3 linked regions of the Caenorhabditis elegans genome follow. The protein of the gene in region 1 interacts with the protein of each later gene in a biochemical or structural test. Each region holds a gene or a part of one and is shown in the gene's direction. Other genes may lie near its edges.

The links.
Region 2: of the proteins of smo-1 (region 1) and bub-1, one has a biochemical effect on the other in vitro, tested with the Caenorhabditis elegans proteins (one study listed by BioGRID).
Region 3: of the proteins of smo-1 (region 1) and gei-17, one has a biochemical effect on the other in vitro, tested with the Caenorhabditis elegans proteins (one study listed by BioGRID).

Annotation. Positions count from the first base shown.
Region 1 is NC_003279.8:1,339,069-1,341,813, forward strand, and holds smo-1 (Small ubiquitin-related modifier), read left to right. Parts: upstream 1-1,609; 5' UTR 1,610-1,634; coding exon 1,635-1,700; intron 1,701-1,756; coding exon 1,757-1,857; intron 1,858-1,907; coding exon 1,908-2,016; 3' UTR 2,017-2,197; downstream 2,198-2,745. Other genes in the region: K12C11.7 (Copper transport protein), read left to right, coding at 208-302, 362-498, 563-642; K12C11.1 (Xaa-Pro dipeptidase), read right to left, coding at 2,287-2,568. UniProt on the Caenorhabditis elegans protein: Ubiquitin-like protein which can be covalently attached to target lysines as a monomer. Does not seem to be involved in protein degradation and may function as an antagonist of ubiquitin in the degradation process.
Region 2 is NC_003279.8:7,249,983-7,255,733, forward strand, and holds bub-1 (Mitotic checkpoint serine/threonine-protein kinase bub-1), read left to right. Parts: upstream 1-1,958; 5' UTR 1,959-1,964; coding exon 1,965-2,038; intron 2,039-2,083; coding exon 2,084-2,613; intron 2,614-2,656; coding exon 2,657-3,568; intron 3,569-3,612; coding exon 3,613-3,800; intron 3,801-3,845; coding exon 3,846-4,615; intron 4,616-4,659; coding exon 4,660-5,149; 3' UTR 5,150-5,241; downstream 5,242-5,751. Other genes in the region: Protein lin-61, read right to left, coding at 1-163, 214-310, 437-603, 652-834, 938-1,300; ztf-15 (C2H2-type domain-containing protein), read left to right, coding at 5,545-5,568, 5,613-5,726. UniProt on the Caenorhabditis elegans protein: Serine/threonine-protein kinase essential for spindle-assembly checkpoint signaling. Plays a key role in the recruitment of the checkpoint proteins bub-3, mdf-1 and mdf-2 to unattached kinetochores. mdf-1 recruitment is independent of bub-1 kinase activity.
Region 3 is NC_003279.8:9,101,573-9,109,124, reverse strand, and holds the start of gei-17 (E3 SUMO-protein ligase gei-17), read left to right. Parts: upstream 1-1,542; 5' UTR 1,543-1,585; coding exon 1,586-1,657; intron 1,658-1,782; coding exon 1,783-1,818; intron 1,819-1,900; coding exon 1,901-2,014; intron 2,015-2,093; coding exon 2,094-2,123; exon of another isoform or gene 2,124-2,137; intron 2,138-2,427; exon of another isoform or gene 2,428-2,525; intron 2,526-2,805; exon of another isoform or gene 2,806-3,018; intron 3,019-3,064; coding exon 3,065-3,430; intron 3,431-4,100; coding exon 4,101-4,226; intron 4,227-4,282; coding exon 4,283-4,377; intron 4,378-4,422; coding exon 4,423-4,519; intron 4,520-4,603; coding exon 4,604-5,076; intron 5,077-5,812; coding exon 5,813-6,126; intron 6,127-6,227; coding exon 6,228-6,484; intron 6,485-6,722; coding exon 6,723-6,860; intron 6,861-7,121; coding exon 7,122-7,287; intron 7,288-7,452; coding exon of another isoform or gene 7,453-7,552. Other genes in the region: nduf-7 (putative NADH dehydrogenase [ubiquinone] iron-sulfur protein 7, mitochondrial), read left to right, coding at 610-687. UniProt on the Caenorhabditis elegans protein: Functions as an E3-type smo-1 ligase. Mediates smo-1 conjugation to air-2 in vitro and is required for proper chromosome alignment.

The DNA of each region.
Region 1 (2,745 bases):
CGCCTGCCGGACGGGAAAGTCGTGTACTCCACACGGACAAATCACATTTAGTTTTTCAACTAAAATTGAGCCGCTACGCGCCGCCAGATATGGCCGAGCCAAAATGGCCTAATTCGGCAAAAACTCTTCCATTTCAAATTATGAGGGAAGCCAGAAACCCGTGTTTTATTTTTCGGGAATTCCTGAATTCCAAAAAAAAAATTGTAGGCCGTCGATTGCTGTTGCTCAACGCCTGAAGGCATTTGGGAGATTCCGGAAGAGCCTGAGCCGTCGCCACGTGGCAAACTGGCATCGTTGGCTCCGTGAGTTGGCTTAAAATATTCCAGGATACGAAATTCCGAAAAAAGGTGATAAATTGCAGATTTACAATGGAATCCATCTCAAGTTGGAGACATTTTGCGTCTTCTTTTCTATTTTTTCTTCAAAATTTTGTGGATTATTCGTTGATGCTGGTAGCAATGACATATAATTATCCGCTATTTTTCTCGCTTTTAGCAGGTTTTATTTATTTTTTTTTTTTTTTGAATTTTTAGAAGAAAAGCTTAAAATTCGTAAATTTTAGGCCACGCCATCGGATATTTCTTCGTTGGCCCGTTGATGACGGTTAAGGAGGTCGAAAACACTGGAAATTGCTGTTCTTAATTGATTTCATAAATATGTATAAAGCATTAAATTTGAATATATTTTTAATAAAGAAAAATCGATATTCACATTAGAGCGCGCTTGCAATTTCACGATGAGACCTGACGATACCGCGCGAATTAAATCGATCGCTTTTTGGCCTAAAATGCTCATTAACAATTGTTTTTGTAGTTTTTAGCTTAAAATTATATTTTAAAATCCAGTTTGCCTTGTTACATATTGGAAAACGGTATTTTTAGAGTTTTTCCTCAAAAACCAAGCGAAAACCTTGAATTTTGTTCCGAAAACTTGTTCAAAACATTTTTTTCGTTGAAAACTCAAATAATTCACCAATTTATCTATTTTAGGCCGAAATCTCTTATTTTTTCAGTCCAAAAAGCACCAAATTTGGTCAAAAACCTGTCCAAAATCTACCGTACCCTCGTGTTGCTCGTGAAATGCGGTGCATTGTGTGCAAACACCGCGGCGTGAACATGCACACTCTGCAACGCGGGAAATCATTTCGAAAAGGTTTTTAGGCGCGTATTGCCCGATTTTTCGGCTCATTTCGTGTGTTTTCATTTATTTTTGCCTTCTTTCTCCGGTCGCGATGCGTTTAATTAAGTTTTGCTTCTAAATTTCGTCAATTTCGCTGAAAAACCACGTAGAAAACTTGATAGGAACTGGATATCCTAAAAAAAAGGATTTCCTTGAGAAAAATGGGTTTTTTTTCTGAATTTCGCAGTGATATTCTTGAAATTCTCAGCGCAGCGCTCCCCAGACAATCGATATTCCTAATTTTTCAAGCATCTTGTGGCTCAGCCAGCTGTTCTGTAATTATCGATTTTATTTGTTACAGCGTCTATATAAATACCCTAGAAAGTCATCATTCTGCACTCTTAATACCTTTCACTCGTGTGAGTTGCATTCTCCATAGCAACTCTACCTCTCTCCTTCTATCTCTTTTTCTCTTTTCAAATCTAATTTCGTTTCAGAGACTCCCGCTATAAACGATGGCCGATGATGCAGCTCAAGCAGGCGACAACGCCGAATACATCAAGATCAAGGTCGTTGGACAGGTAATTTGACTGGAAATTCGCCGCGAATTTGTTAATAATTCCCAAAAAAATTGCAGGACAGCAACGAAGTGCACTTCCGTGTAAAGTATGGAACCTCTATGGCCAAGCTGAAGAAGTCGTACGCTGACAGAACCGGTGTCGCCGTCAACAGTCTTCGGTGAGTTTTGGAAATCCGCGCCAATTCCTATCAACTTTAAATATTTGCAGTTTCCTCTTCGACGGACGTCGCATCAACGACGATGACACACCGAAGACGCTCGAGATGGAGGACGATGACGTCATCGAGGTCTACCAAGAGCAGCTGGGCGGATTCTAGTCCTCTACCTACACTCTAATCCGAAAACAAACACCCATCCATCCCTTTTCCACTGAGATACTCGGTTTCTCTGTCTCATTTAATCTATTTTCCACATTTCGAATCATATTATACAACCAAAAAAGTTTAAAATAACTTATTTATCTTACAAATAAACTCTTCGTTTTCGGAAAATCCCAAATTTTTAAAAATTAAATTTTATTTTACATGAAAAAATAACACAGTAATAGTAGTAGGAATGATGATAAATTAGAATCAGTAGACAAAAAATCACTTGGACAAGAAATCAGAGACACGAGATTCGATGACCTTCTCCGTCCATTCGCCTCCACTAGCCATGAAGTTCTCGATCTCCTCGACGGTTCGTGGAAGATCGCTCAGATTCTCGTTACCAGAAGCACGAATGATGACGTCATCCTCGATACGGACGCCGCCTGATCCGCGGTACTTGTCGATTTCGGATTTGACGAGGAATTCGCTCTTTTTCGGGTCGGCGAGCGCCTCGTTGAGCAGGAAATCAATGAAATAGCAGCCGGGTTCGATGGTGATTGCCTGGAAGATATCGATTTTTACGTGAAAATTCGGAAAAATTGAGGTTTTCTGGATTTTCCAGCTCCGCGGGGCTAATTTTTCTACTTTTCGATAAAATTTCGGCATTTTGCATGCTTTAACAGCTCAAAACTCAAAAAATTATCGATTTTTCCGAAAAATTTACTCCCGTGGGACAGT
Region 2 (5,751 bases), 5.9 Mb from region 1:
ATATTTCTTGAATTCGCGCTACGCGTATTTCAGTAGAATTGGAATAATTTAATAGTTCAAGACGTTGTCCAACTTTGAAACGATGCTTGCTTAGGAGAGCCTTCCCTTCATCGAATTTTGGAGACAGCGAAGTTTGGCCGACGATTTCGCCATCAATGCAATTCTGAAGTTGTGAGATGATATTAACATAAATTCGGAAAAAAACAAACTTACATTTACATAATTTACCATATCATTTTGGTATTCTTCGTTGATTGCAAGCGGCGGAGCATATACAATTTTATCCATATTGGGATCACTCATTGCGGCGCTGAAATGTTCAAATTTTACTATTATACAAATGTTTCGAAGTTTTAATACGATTGTTCTCTAGAATTTTATGTAACAGAACCATTATTTATTTAGAATAGTAGAAAGAGCTGAGCGTCCAACTTACTTTGCCAAACCAAACATATCGTCCGATAAAATATTGAGCCAAAATTTCGTGTCAGCTCCGATAAACTGAGCCAGAACTCTGTATCCGCAAACTTTTTCAATTCGTGCAAACCATCTGACTTGAATCGAATCGCAGTTCTTGTCATAATCATGGACCACTGTTTCGAACTACAAAAATTGTATTTTAAAACCGATTTACGAACAATATGAACTCACGATAACTCCTTCCTTCACGCATTCGTTAAAATTAACTGTAAGGTTACGATTGAATGCTTCAACTGGAATGAAAGAAGTTTTTCCTTTCTCGAACTGATGTAAATAGGATTCCCACAAGTAGGTCTTATCGAGTTTTCTGTCCGATTTTTTGTTAGCTCTGACAATTTTCAGAAATTCAGACATCTGAAATTAAGACTGGTTTAAAACGTAATTAGAGAGAATGTTTATTGAAATTGAAAGTTAGTTCGATTTGATTTGATATTTCTCAGGCGTTCGTCAAATTCACAGTGTACTCAATATACTCCAACCCATTGGATCCACTGGTGCTACTCAACCCGTGCCTATACTCGCGAAAATTTCCATTTTTCGTGCAATTGTGCAGAAACCACCCATAAGGCTCGAGCTTTCCAAATTCAAATCCATGATGGCCGTCCTGATAGAAAAATATTTTCTTTCGAGCAAACATAGTCATACGTCCAGTGATGTCTTCATCGCGATCCCAAAAAGTATTGCCATCGTCTTCCCAATGCGACACTGTTAATTGGAACACTTCATCAAAATCACACTTAACTTCGACGCCAAACAGAAATCTTGTCGAACTGACTGTATTGTAGAACAACGCGAAGCACAAAATGACTAATTTTAGCATTTTGATGTTCGGGAACTAACTTTTCGGACGAACAAAAACACTCTTAACTATCTGGTGACAAATTAGACTACTGGGCCACGCTAACTTCAATTATTTCGAAACATTTTGCTTTAAAAAAAAAAGAAACAAAACAGGAAAATGGAGAAAATGTTTGAAAAATAATAAAAAAGAAATGAGAGACTCAATGCAGATCCGTCGATTTCGAAACTAGTGACGAACGGACTACGAAAAAATGGGCGGGCTTTTTGTGTTATTAAAAGTGTAACATTTCAAATTAAATTCCAATTGCATACAAACACTTTTTAAAAAATTGTTTTTTTATAATTTCAAATAGCTTTAAAATCAATTTTCAGTTATAGCAATAAAGCACCGCCCAATTTTCAGTAGTGCGCAATTCTCCAGATTCAAAAGAACGTAGCCATGAGAGTGACGTCACTGAACTACAGCGAAAAACGCGCTCTATCGAGCAGGCCCGCGAAGACTCGCTTTTCAAAAAAGACGCGCGCGTTTATATCCATTTCTTGTTTTCGAAGGTCCTAAAATTTAGAGGAGAAAGAGGGATTTCACGTCTCCAATGAACTCCGTAATTTTCGTGAACCGATGATTTTTTTATTCGCGTCCTTTCTACTTTGAAAACTTGTTATTCAGATTATTTCAGAAAGTTATGTCCCACATTAGAGTGGCATTCGCTCCACTCGACACCAATCCGTCGACATGTGGTCTTGAGACGTTCGCAACGTAAGTTTCCGTATATCTTGTATTTTAAATAGTCACCACTTTCAGGCAAATCGAAACGTTGTCTCAAATGATGACCGCGGAGGAAATGAAGGCGGAATTATACGACTGCGTTAGGAGAATTTTGCGGGAGCAAAAGTTTGATCAAATTCGTGAAAACGAAGCGATGCTCCGTCTCTACAAAGTTATGGGTCGATCTAGTACAAACCTGAAGGGAAGAGGCATTTATGAACAACTTTTCAAAAAGGATCATTTCACTGGTTCGCTGAAGTTCTATCTGCAATGGGCAGAAGAATGTGGAAAAGATCAAATGCTGGAGGAATTCAAAGATGTCCTGAAGTTGGCACGAGATCGTCTTTCCGAAAGAATAGAAATGACAGCAATTGAATCGGGATTTCGCGATTTGGTCGATGAATACTTCAATGGAGAATCTGGAGATATGTTCACACGACCGGATGAGACTATGGATCTTTTCAGATTCAATGCGGGTTCTAAGAAAAAGCGTCGCTCTTCGGTTTGCTTTTTGCAACACAATGTGCCTATAAATAACTCGGGAAAAGCTGCATTTGGACCAAAAAGTAAGTTTGAAAAAAAGTTATTATTCTCATTGGAAACTTACAGCCAAAACGGATCTTCGCCAGGCGTGTATCGACAGGCCAAACTATCATGGAATATCGATTGAGGAGTTTCGTTTTGCCAAATGGAAGGACACTTTCGGAGAAGATGTTGATGACGATTACCGAAAACGAAAAGACTCTGGTGTCGTTTTCGTGAAACATCAAGTCATTGATACCGACAGACAAGCCCGCGAAGAAGTTGAAAACCGATTCAACGCCAATCTAAATCCTAGAAGACGTCATCTTTCACCAGTCAGTGAGAAAACGGTTGATGATGAGGAGGAAAAGCGAAGCCGGATTTATTCGCCGCTGGTTGCAACGAAGGATGCTCACAGACCTGCACTTCGGAGCAAAATTGAGAATCCTCCAGCGACAGTGACACTTTCGTCGGATACAAAGTCTGCTTCGGAGAAAGATGTTAGTGATTCCGATGATGCAGATGATGATGAAAGACTCAAGATTATGACTGCCGGCAGAAAAGATGGTAACCCTCCAGACCGTTCCACAAGCATATCTTCCAACTATTCAACTGCTTCTGCAAGAACATCAAAGAGTGGAGCTGGATTGGATTTGATGGCGGAAAATAAGTGTTTGGAGGCACATGCTATGTTTTCCGACACTGTACATCTTGCTAGCGAAAAGACAATGGTCCTTGGCGATGATTCTGTCTTCGTTCCAGAAAGATCTTTAGCTACTACGCAGATAGTTACTGACTTTTCCGTGCTCTGTGATCCTGATCCGACAATGACCATTACACAGGAGCGTCCGAAAAAAGTGTCGAATGGGTTGAATGTTGTTTACGATGAGGCAGCCGAACCGGAAGAATCTCAGAAAGTTGAGGAATCTGAAGTACAACCCGAAATTGTCCTAGTTTCTCCAGTGACGCAAACCTCACCAGCTACAATGTTTAATGATAGTGGGTTTATCGAAAAATATAACAACTTATGTTTTAATTTTTAGTTTATGACGATGAAATCGAGTTTGGCTTTTTCAAACCGTCTCGTGGTAATTTCGTCACATCGACCCCCGCACAAGGAGTTCATTTGGTCAACATTGATGAATATTTCGGAAATAAAGAGGAGGAAAGCACTCACGAACAGGAAGCTCCAGTATTTGTTGCTCCAACCAGCAGTACTTTCAGTAAATTAGTAAGTGCCAGACAAATTTTCGACATACTATTCAAACTTTTTCAGACACGTCGAAAGTCACTAGCAGCAAATCAAGCCGTTCAGCCCTCAGTCACAGAGTCATCAAAGCCTGAACGATCAGATCCTAAAGATTCATCTATCGATTGTTTGACAGCTAATCTAGGAAGACGTCTTTCAATTGGTGCTGATGAAATTCCAAATCTCACTGAAAACAACGAATCTGAAATCACTGGTTGCAAGATTCGTCGGCGCAGTGAAATTATCAAGCAAGGAGACATCAATCCATGGGACGAAACTCTTCGAAAAAAATTGATGTGTCTTGTGCGTCCTCCCCAGAATATGCACGAGTTCCAAGAACGAGCACCGAAGATTCAAGCTCTGAGAGACTGCGAGGTTAGCGGAGAAAAGCTCCACATTCAAACTCTTATTGGTCAAGGTGGATACGCTAAAGTATACCGGGCTGTAACCGATGATCAAAGGACAGTAGCTGTGAAGTACGAGGTGCCATCATGTTCGTGGGAAGTGTACATTTGCGACCAAATGCGGAATCGCCTGAAAGATCGAGGTTTGGAGCTGATGGCCAAATGTTGCATTATGGAAGTGATGGATGCTTATGTTTATTCAACTGCTTCGCTTCTTGTTAATCAGTACCACGAATATGGAACGCTGCTTGAATATGCGAATAACATGAAGGATCCGAATTGGCACATAACCTGCTTCTTGATTACCCAAATGGCCCGAGTTGTGAAGGAAGTCCATGCCTCTAAAATTATTCATGGAGATATCAAACCGGATAATTTTATGATCACCAGAAAGTATGGGAAAACATTTGTTAATTTTAGACGTTATCTTTTTTCAGGATCGATGATAAATGGGGCAAAGATGCTCTGATGAGTAACGACAGCTTTGTCATCAAGATTATCGACTGGGGACGTGCCATTGACATGATGCCACTGAAGAACCAGCGTTTCAAGGGAAGAGCAGGAACAGAAGCGTTTGATTGCCCGGAAATGGTTGACGGTCGTTCTTGGACTTACCAAGCCGATTACTTCGGATTCGCCGCAACAATGGCTGTCGTTGTTGCAGGAAAGTATGCACAGTTGACTGGAGCTAGCGTTGGAGACTATTCGTTAAATGTCGACATCAAGAGGCGCAACATTCTTCGCGATGCTTGCTACGATGTCATTAACAGATTCCTCAACATCCCTTCGTGTGATTCACTTCCGGACTGGAATATCCTGATCAAGTCTTTCTCGGAAATCTGGAATGAAAAGTTTGAAGCATCGGGATGGCGACAGGCGGTTTCCAAGTTCAATGAGGCCTGTGATCTTGCCGCCAACCAAAAGTAGCCCAACACAATGAATTTGTATTTCGTGCTCTTATTGCTCTCTTTTATTGTCTTTTGTATTGATATCATGTGAATAAACTCGTTCGGAGCTTTAATAATTGTGCATCTAATTTATTTCTGGTAAAACAAATTGAATTAAACGAAGTTTTCAGTTTTTGAAAGCTTTCCAAATTTGAACGTGATATTCGAGATTGGGCGCGGCGAGACCCATCACGGTAGAAATTTGATGCGCCTTTAAAGGGAAGTATTGCAATAGATCACAGTTAGATCTAAATAGTTGCACATTCGTTTTGTTTCATCAACTGTTTTCTTCGCGTTTTGCATAAAATGTGATATTTAAAAAAGAATTTAGAAAAAATTACAATTAAAATATTTTCCAGCCATCCTCTTGTAAAAATGGAAGAATCAGATCAGACTGTGGTGAGCGCTAGTGTTTAATCAACTTATTTTGCAAAAAGTTTCAGCTTTTACCAAATGTCGAAAATGAAATTGGCAGTTTTTATCATGACATGCCTGATGAAAAATTGCTTCGTCATATCAAAGCAATTTTCGACGAAGCTTCACTTCGACCATCTTTGGTATTTAATCTTCATTGAAACCTCA
Region 3 (7,552 bases), 7.8 Mb from region 1:
AGTAACAATTTGTTTCAGTTAATGTCTGAAAATATTCCAAGAAAAGCGTGTTGCTATGTTCAAAAATGAATTTTAATAATTCTATGACGTCATAATATGTACCTCACTATAATCTCGACACCCCATCATTATCAAAACTGTTTTTTTCGGGTTTTTCCGAAAAAGATTTTTGAAAAAAATTTCCCAATTTAAGAATGGTGGGCTAAGGACGGCATGATGTAATCGCGCTCCACGACCGATTGTAAATATTTCGAAAATACGTGGGTGCATGTGTACTCAATTATTGATCGAATTGGCGCGAAAGTCTTGTGTTGTCTACGCTCTCTTGCATACCATTGAGTCTTTATTTCTCTATTTCTGCTTAGTTTCTCAAGCATTCACTAATGAATATTTTGCCGTATCTAATGCAACAACAACTTGGTGTTTTGTTTAAATCTTTAGCTCTTCGAAATACTTTATCACATTCTGACTGTATCAGCGAATTTCTAATACATTTTAAATTAGTGAAATTATCTGAATAGCTTTAAAAATATTCCTAGCCTGCAGTCTTTTCTGAAAATATGTTTCGTCTAATAAAGAAAATAATTTTAATATAAAAAATTATTCCAGGCTCTTCTATACGGAGTTCTCCAACTTCAAAAGAAGATCAAGCGTAAGCGAGAAGCTCAACTTTGGTACAGACGCTAAACAGAACACGAGGCGAAAAGAAAGTACGAGAAAGTTGGAGAACTGTGAAAAAATTCGCAGAAAAATGGTCATTTTGTACGAGTAAGCCCCACTTCATTCATTTTTTGTGTTTCTCCACCTTTTCTCCATTTTCTTTTTTCTAGATCTGATATCGATAGTTTCGTTCGTTTTTTTCTGCGGTTTACTTTTTTTTTCGAATAGTGTCTATTTTTACCTCATGTTTTTTTTGGTTGAAAAAAAGTCGATAACATTTTTTTAAAGTTCTATTTTTTTCTCTCATTTTCTTTGGAACGGTTAACAACGCCGACCCTTTGTGGTTCTCTTTTTATTTATTTATTCATATTTTCACAAAGTCTGTGAATTTTTATATAGTGATTTGAAAGGAGATCACGACGCACTTTATAGCGCCGCCAAGTTTTTTTTTTTGGATTTGGTTTTTGGATTGAAAATAATACAAAAAAAGTCTGTGTGGATTGAAAATTGTATTGCGCAAATTCAAAAACACAAATTTTCTGGCGCCTCTTCTGAAAATTGCTGATCCTTTGTCACGGGCACAAACCTATCGTACACATTGATCTCATTGATTTCCTGAATGAGTTAACGTGAGTACGTTGAAATATTTTTTGCAGGATTTTGCAAAACTGATTCATCAGGTGTGCCCGTGTTTTTTGCGCGATTTTGGTCCATTAACTTCCAAAATTGGGAAATCCACACGGAACCGCGCTTTTCGAAACGCTTTTTAGGGAATAGAAAAGATCACATTTTTCTACTTTTTGTTTGTGATATTTTCACTACTGGACCATTCAAATTCGCCTTAATATCCCTTTTCCGAATCTGCAGTTTTATATTTTTCCGTCGTTTCGAGACACAGCGGAGGATCGGAGGTATTGAAATCAATATGTTACCGAATAATCAATGGCAAATACCTATAAACAATGGATTAACACATCAGGAAAATATGGCAGCACACGTGAGTTATTGGAAAATTATTGACATTTATTAAATAGTTTAAAATTCTTGTATTTTACCCAAGGATTTTTCTGTTCCAATCTGTTATTTTTCAAAAAGTAAAACTGATGGATTCCAAATTTTCAGGCAGCCGTCATGAAATTGAGAGTACACGATCTTCAGGTTAGATACCGTTTTTAATCAATCTTTATTGTTCAATACCTCAACGAGAAGGCGATGTGAATCAAGAATTTATGAATTTCAGTCGATTATCTCGCAATTGTCACTTCGAAAGCCACGTCCACAAAAATCGGAGCATCAGAAGGTCGTCGTTGAATCCTTGCGTGATCCTCATCATGCTCGGCAAATTTATCAAATGGTCATTTGTTTTTCTCGTTATTTTATTTATGTTTTTTTTTAAATGATGTTTTACAGCATTAATTTTCTCGAGTTTACAGGCTTCCAATTTCCCGAACGGAAATTATGAGGTAAGTATGAAAAAGTTAAATACTTTCAGTTAAAAAAAAACTATGTCAACTTTGATTAAATAGATGTGTGAGGTACTTTGGGTAACGTTTACCAGTGTTCTACCTCGGAGGAAATTATTCATTCACCTAGTATTGTCTCTTTACTCACACAATAAGTCTCGCATTTATCTCCACTAGCATCCTCATACCCACCATATATGTAGCCCTTTGTTTCTCTAAGTTTCCTCAAATATTTCATCCATTCTGCACTTGCTTCCTCGCAGCTCCGGCAACGGGACTTTCGCCCGTAATAAGGTGTTAAAAACCTCAAAAGCAGTGGATCTTCGAAAATTTCTTAGTTGTACTTTGCCCTGACCTTCTTTCCATGTTTCATACGTGTAGCTTGGCGCGTAGTTTTTCATTACAATTTTTATTTTACTAGATTGATTCTTTTGAATACTGTCACACTTTTTTGAAAATCAAATTCAAATTTTCACTCCTAAAGAGGTATTTGAGTTTTTTAATAATTGTTTCACTTTGAAAAATCGATATGGAAGCGAATTGGCACGATGTCGCTCGTGAGAAACTGGGAATCGTTTTTTTTTTTGTTGTTATTTCACAACAGTTGATTCGAATGCGCGTAACTATTTAAATCAATCGAATTTTTAGTTGGCTTATTATTGAAATTTTACTAAATTTTAAGAAAGTCCTGTTATCAAAACTCCAAAAAAACGGCTAGGTTTATCAATATATATCATTTCTTCGCAAGCACCTCTCCTGATGACATGTGCGCTCTATTGAGAAACAAACGTTCAAAAAATCTCTTCCGCTTTGTTTTTTATTCCCAAATGTATTTTTGCAAATGTTCTAATTGTCTAAAATATTCCACATATTTAAAGTTAGAGCCTAAAAAATTGTTTGTAAATCGTTTCTGTTTTAATAACTAAATTAAAAAATGTCAGATGCAGAAGCGACCTGCAACAACATCCCAAGTTCGGTCTCATCCATATGTGCTGCCATCTCGATCTGGAGCTAGTAATCACTTGGTCAATCATCATTATCAGCAGCAACAACAACAACAACCACAGCCTCACAATCTACTTCATCAACAAATGATGGCGTCACATCATTCACATCTGCAACAGCAGCACCATCCGTCGACGGTGAGATGGCTAACTCCTGAACTGCTCGAAGAGCAACTGAGGGGCTCGATGAGATACGGCGCTCCCGCTGCTGCTGCTGCTACCAACGCGCCGCTCCATTCATCTTTTCCTAATCATGGACGTTCTTCTCAGCAAAGTTTGCAGAAGTCGGAAAAATCAAATAGGGTGAACATTTTCGCCGCATTTTTATTGCCTGAAATTCACGATAAGAATGAACGCAAGAATATCGAGGCGGAAAGCATGTGAAGATATACTTTCGGTTTATGACCGTAACGGAAAATTTACCTGAAAAAATTACACTGGTAGCTTCTTCTGGGCACATATATCATATTGGCCAGTCGCGGTTATTTGAAAATTCCTCAATCGTGATACATTATGCAAACAAATGTCCTACCGTTTATTGAATGCACTTTTTTGAATTGCGTGTAGCATTCAAAAAAAAGAAAGAAAAATTCGAAGCTCCAAGATTTGCACGCTGTTATCACGAAATTTTCTGCATGATTCCGAATGGCGTAAAAACTAGAACAAGTGTGGTTTTAAGATATTACAGTATGGCATTCTTAGGAGCATGTTCATGAAGAAAAGCTTAATATGATAATCCTCTCTAGGCATTTCTTCATATTGCCGTGCTCAATTTTCAAATAGTTTTATTTCCAATTAGTTCGTAGTAGCATGTAAAAGTGTTTTTTTACTACCAAAAAGCAGGCATCATTAGAAATTGCGCGGCATGTGTTATACAGTTCGCTCACACGAGTTCAATGTTATCACCTGAAAATTGCTTTCAGCGTCTCTTTCTTACATTCCCACATGTCTAACCCATGTATTTTTTTTTCAGCCGAAAAAAATGTATGCTGATAATTTTGAACCGCTTCCACTTCCATTCTACGATGTTATTTCTGTTTTGCTGAAGCCTGTCGAGCTGCATTCATCAGACAGTCCAACTTTGAAGCAAACAAAACAGGTTGGTCTCAATTTACTCGCTCTCCAAGCCGGTTACCTATTAATTACTAATTTCAGTTACAATTCCCGTTCTTATTGACTGCTGAGCACATCTCCAAGATTTCGTATCGAGCTGATGTTACACCTCTTCCACGATATGAATTGCAGTTGAGGTACGTTTTATTATCATTGAAATCGGTTTAAATCCTTGTTTTCAGGTTCTTCAATCTTACTGAACCAGTTCAGGGTCCTCAAAAAGACGACTTTCCACTCAATTGCTACGCACGTGTTGATGATTCTGTCGTTCAATTGCCGGTATGAGATTTGAAACGTTCACGAAATATATTTAATTTCAAAATATCAATTATTGTTAGGAGTTACTATTTCTTCAAATTTCAGAATGTAATCCCAACAAATAAGACAAATGCTGAGCCGAAACGACCATCTCGTCCAGTGAATATCACTTCAAACATGAATAGATACAAGAAAGAGCACACAGTTGCAGTCGAATGGTTAGCCGACAAACGTGTATGGGCAGCTGGAGTTTATTTCGTTCATCGTGTTAACTCGGATATTCTCTTTAAACGTCTTAATCAGAATGTATCAAGACATCGATCACTTGAGGTTACCAAGCAAGAAGTGATCAAGAAACTGTCTGGAGGTGAAGATGATATTGCTATGGATCGTCTTAATATCAGTCTTCTTGATCCACTGTGCAAGACAAGAATGACAACGCCTTCTAGATGCCAAGATTGTACCCATTTGCAATGTTTTGATCTCCTCTCATATTTGATGATGAACGAGAAGAAACCAACGTGGCAGTGCCCTGTTTGCTCGAGTAACTGCCCATATGATAGACTTATTGTTGATGAGTAAGTTTTCAATTCACACTGACTAACTTTGATTTTAAAAAAAAGCGAATTATCTCAATTCTATGTTTTCATTATTTTTCTATTAACTCTTAGATACCGTTCCCTCACTTCGAAATTTCCAATTCTTGTGAAGACACTATTATTTTTCCAAACACAATTGTTATCTATAGCGATGGACAACACCCTTAAAATAGCCATGATGAAACGGTGATTAGGAAATTCGGAAACGCGTCGTCTAAAATAGGCATGTATTTGCAAATATAGTCTACGATTATTATCAGTAGTTCGTATTGGTCTCCAACTCAAAATTCAGCTCATGACGTAAGAGAACATGAAACAAATGGCAAAGGTCAATCATCATAATTGAGCAAGAGTTTTAATGTGTAATTGAAAATTATTATTATTCAGAAATTCAAAATCCCTGTAAATAATTCTCAATCAATTAATAATCCAAATAGTGTTCTCACTCTTATGTTTACCATGATCCAGATTCATATTGTGAACAGTGCATCATGGACAAACAACAAATTCGATGGCTAACTTCATGCAGTTTTGTGTGAAGCTGTCTGTTCGCACTATTCGCTCGTTTTCTTAATTGGAAAATACTTTTTAGTCACGGAAATGCCTGAGAAACTGCTTAGACGTTACCCAATTCAACATTTTATTTAAGAAATATTCAAATATCAAAATAAAAAGCAATGTTCTGAGACTATGCAAATATTGTTTCATCTTTCAGTTATTTCCTCGATATGCTTGCAAAGGTGGATAAGAATACGACGGAAGTTGAACTTAAGGAAGATGGCTCGTACGATGTTATCAAGGAAGAAGCTTTTTGCATCTCAGATGATGACGACGATGACGTTGTACCTGCTACTGTTAACGGTACAGCGTCATGCTCTTCGACAAATGGCAATGGACTTGCAAATGAAGCAGCGAAGAAAAAACCAGCTGACGACGACATAATTACCTTGAGTGATGACGATGATGAGGAATTGAACAGAGGTATAATGAACTCTCTGAACGACAGCTTCTCTCCTGGCAGACACACAGGTTTGCTATTCAAATGGCGTGGTGTGAGACAAGCTGAGAATATTGCAGTTTCTAGCAATATCAATTAAAAGTATTCACTTGAAATTCAAATCTTATTTCAGCTTCCGCAGAATTGGCTGCTCAAAAGACACCACCACAGCAGAAAAAGAAGACGAAAGACGATGACATAGAGATTATTACTCTCGATGATACACCACCTCGTCCAGTAGCTGCAAGTGCAAATCTTCCAATGCGTCAGATGTCTCAACAGAATCAAATGCCAGTTGGCTCATCTCCATCTGGAATGGCCTCAACGCAAATGGGAATGAACGAGGGTGCAAGTAAAACTATCCGGGATGCGCTGAACAAAATAGGAGAAGTAAGTTCAGAAAAACACAAATCTTCAAAAGAGCCAATATTGTTAGTTATTTTCCATAGTTTTAAGAGGATTTGTTCTTAATTTGACTGAAATCAGTATTCTAGTTATAACTTATCCGTTTTTAACCAAAACTAATACAAAGATTGAATTATATATTTGATTATATTATTATATGATATTGTTAAACTAACATCTGCTTCTCCCTGTCCACACTCACTAAACTGTCTGTTTGTTGCAGCAGTCAGCAAATTCATCAACACAATCATCTCCGCTTGTTCAACTTCACCATACGACACATCCATTGAATTTTGCTCAATCATCTTATATGAATCCCTCTTCAGGATCTCAAACACCTACATCACAATACGGATATTCGGTATGCCAGCACGTGTTAATAGTCTACCACACGCACTAATACTCTAGTGATATTTTTTCATAACGACAGAACAAAAAAATCCTGTTTTAATCTCTTTTTTTTCTTTGTTCAAGCCCCTATTAATTGGATAAGATACTTAGATGATTGTCCACTGCACTAGAATTCTGTCGAATTGAAAAAAATGCACTAGTTTTACGTCTGGAATTATAAACTTAACAAATATTTTTCAAAATTTTTTAAAAATTGAACTCTCGTTTTCAGCCAATGATAAACCAGGCACCACACTTCCAAATGCAAAACGGGCTCATAGGGCGAAACAATCAAATGGTTCATATGCAGCAGCACCATCTTCAGCAGCAACAACAGCAGCAGCAGTCACCACAAATCATGTCTCCGTCTTTTTATGCTCAACAGCAAATGTCAAACGGTAATTTTTTGTACACCTTACAAAGTTTTTGTATATTATGTTTAAACATCAAAACAATCACTTCACGATCTTCAGTTAATAGCGAGTAAACTTGTTGTGTAATTGCAACCATCCTGCATGCAAATATATATTTATTTCCCTTACTTGGTTTGGCCTCACTTTCAGGTGACACCAATAACATCCAACCACCACGAATTCTTTCCATGGCTGAAATACAAGCAAATGCATCTCGACTTTTGGTAAATGGACACCTGATGATCGATCA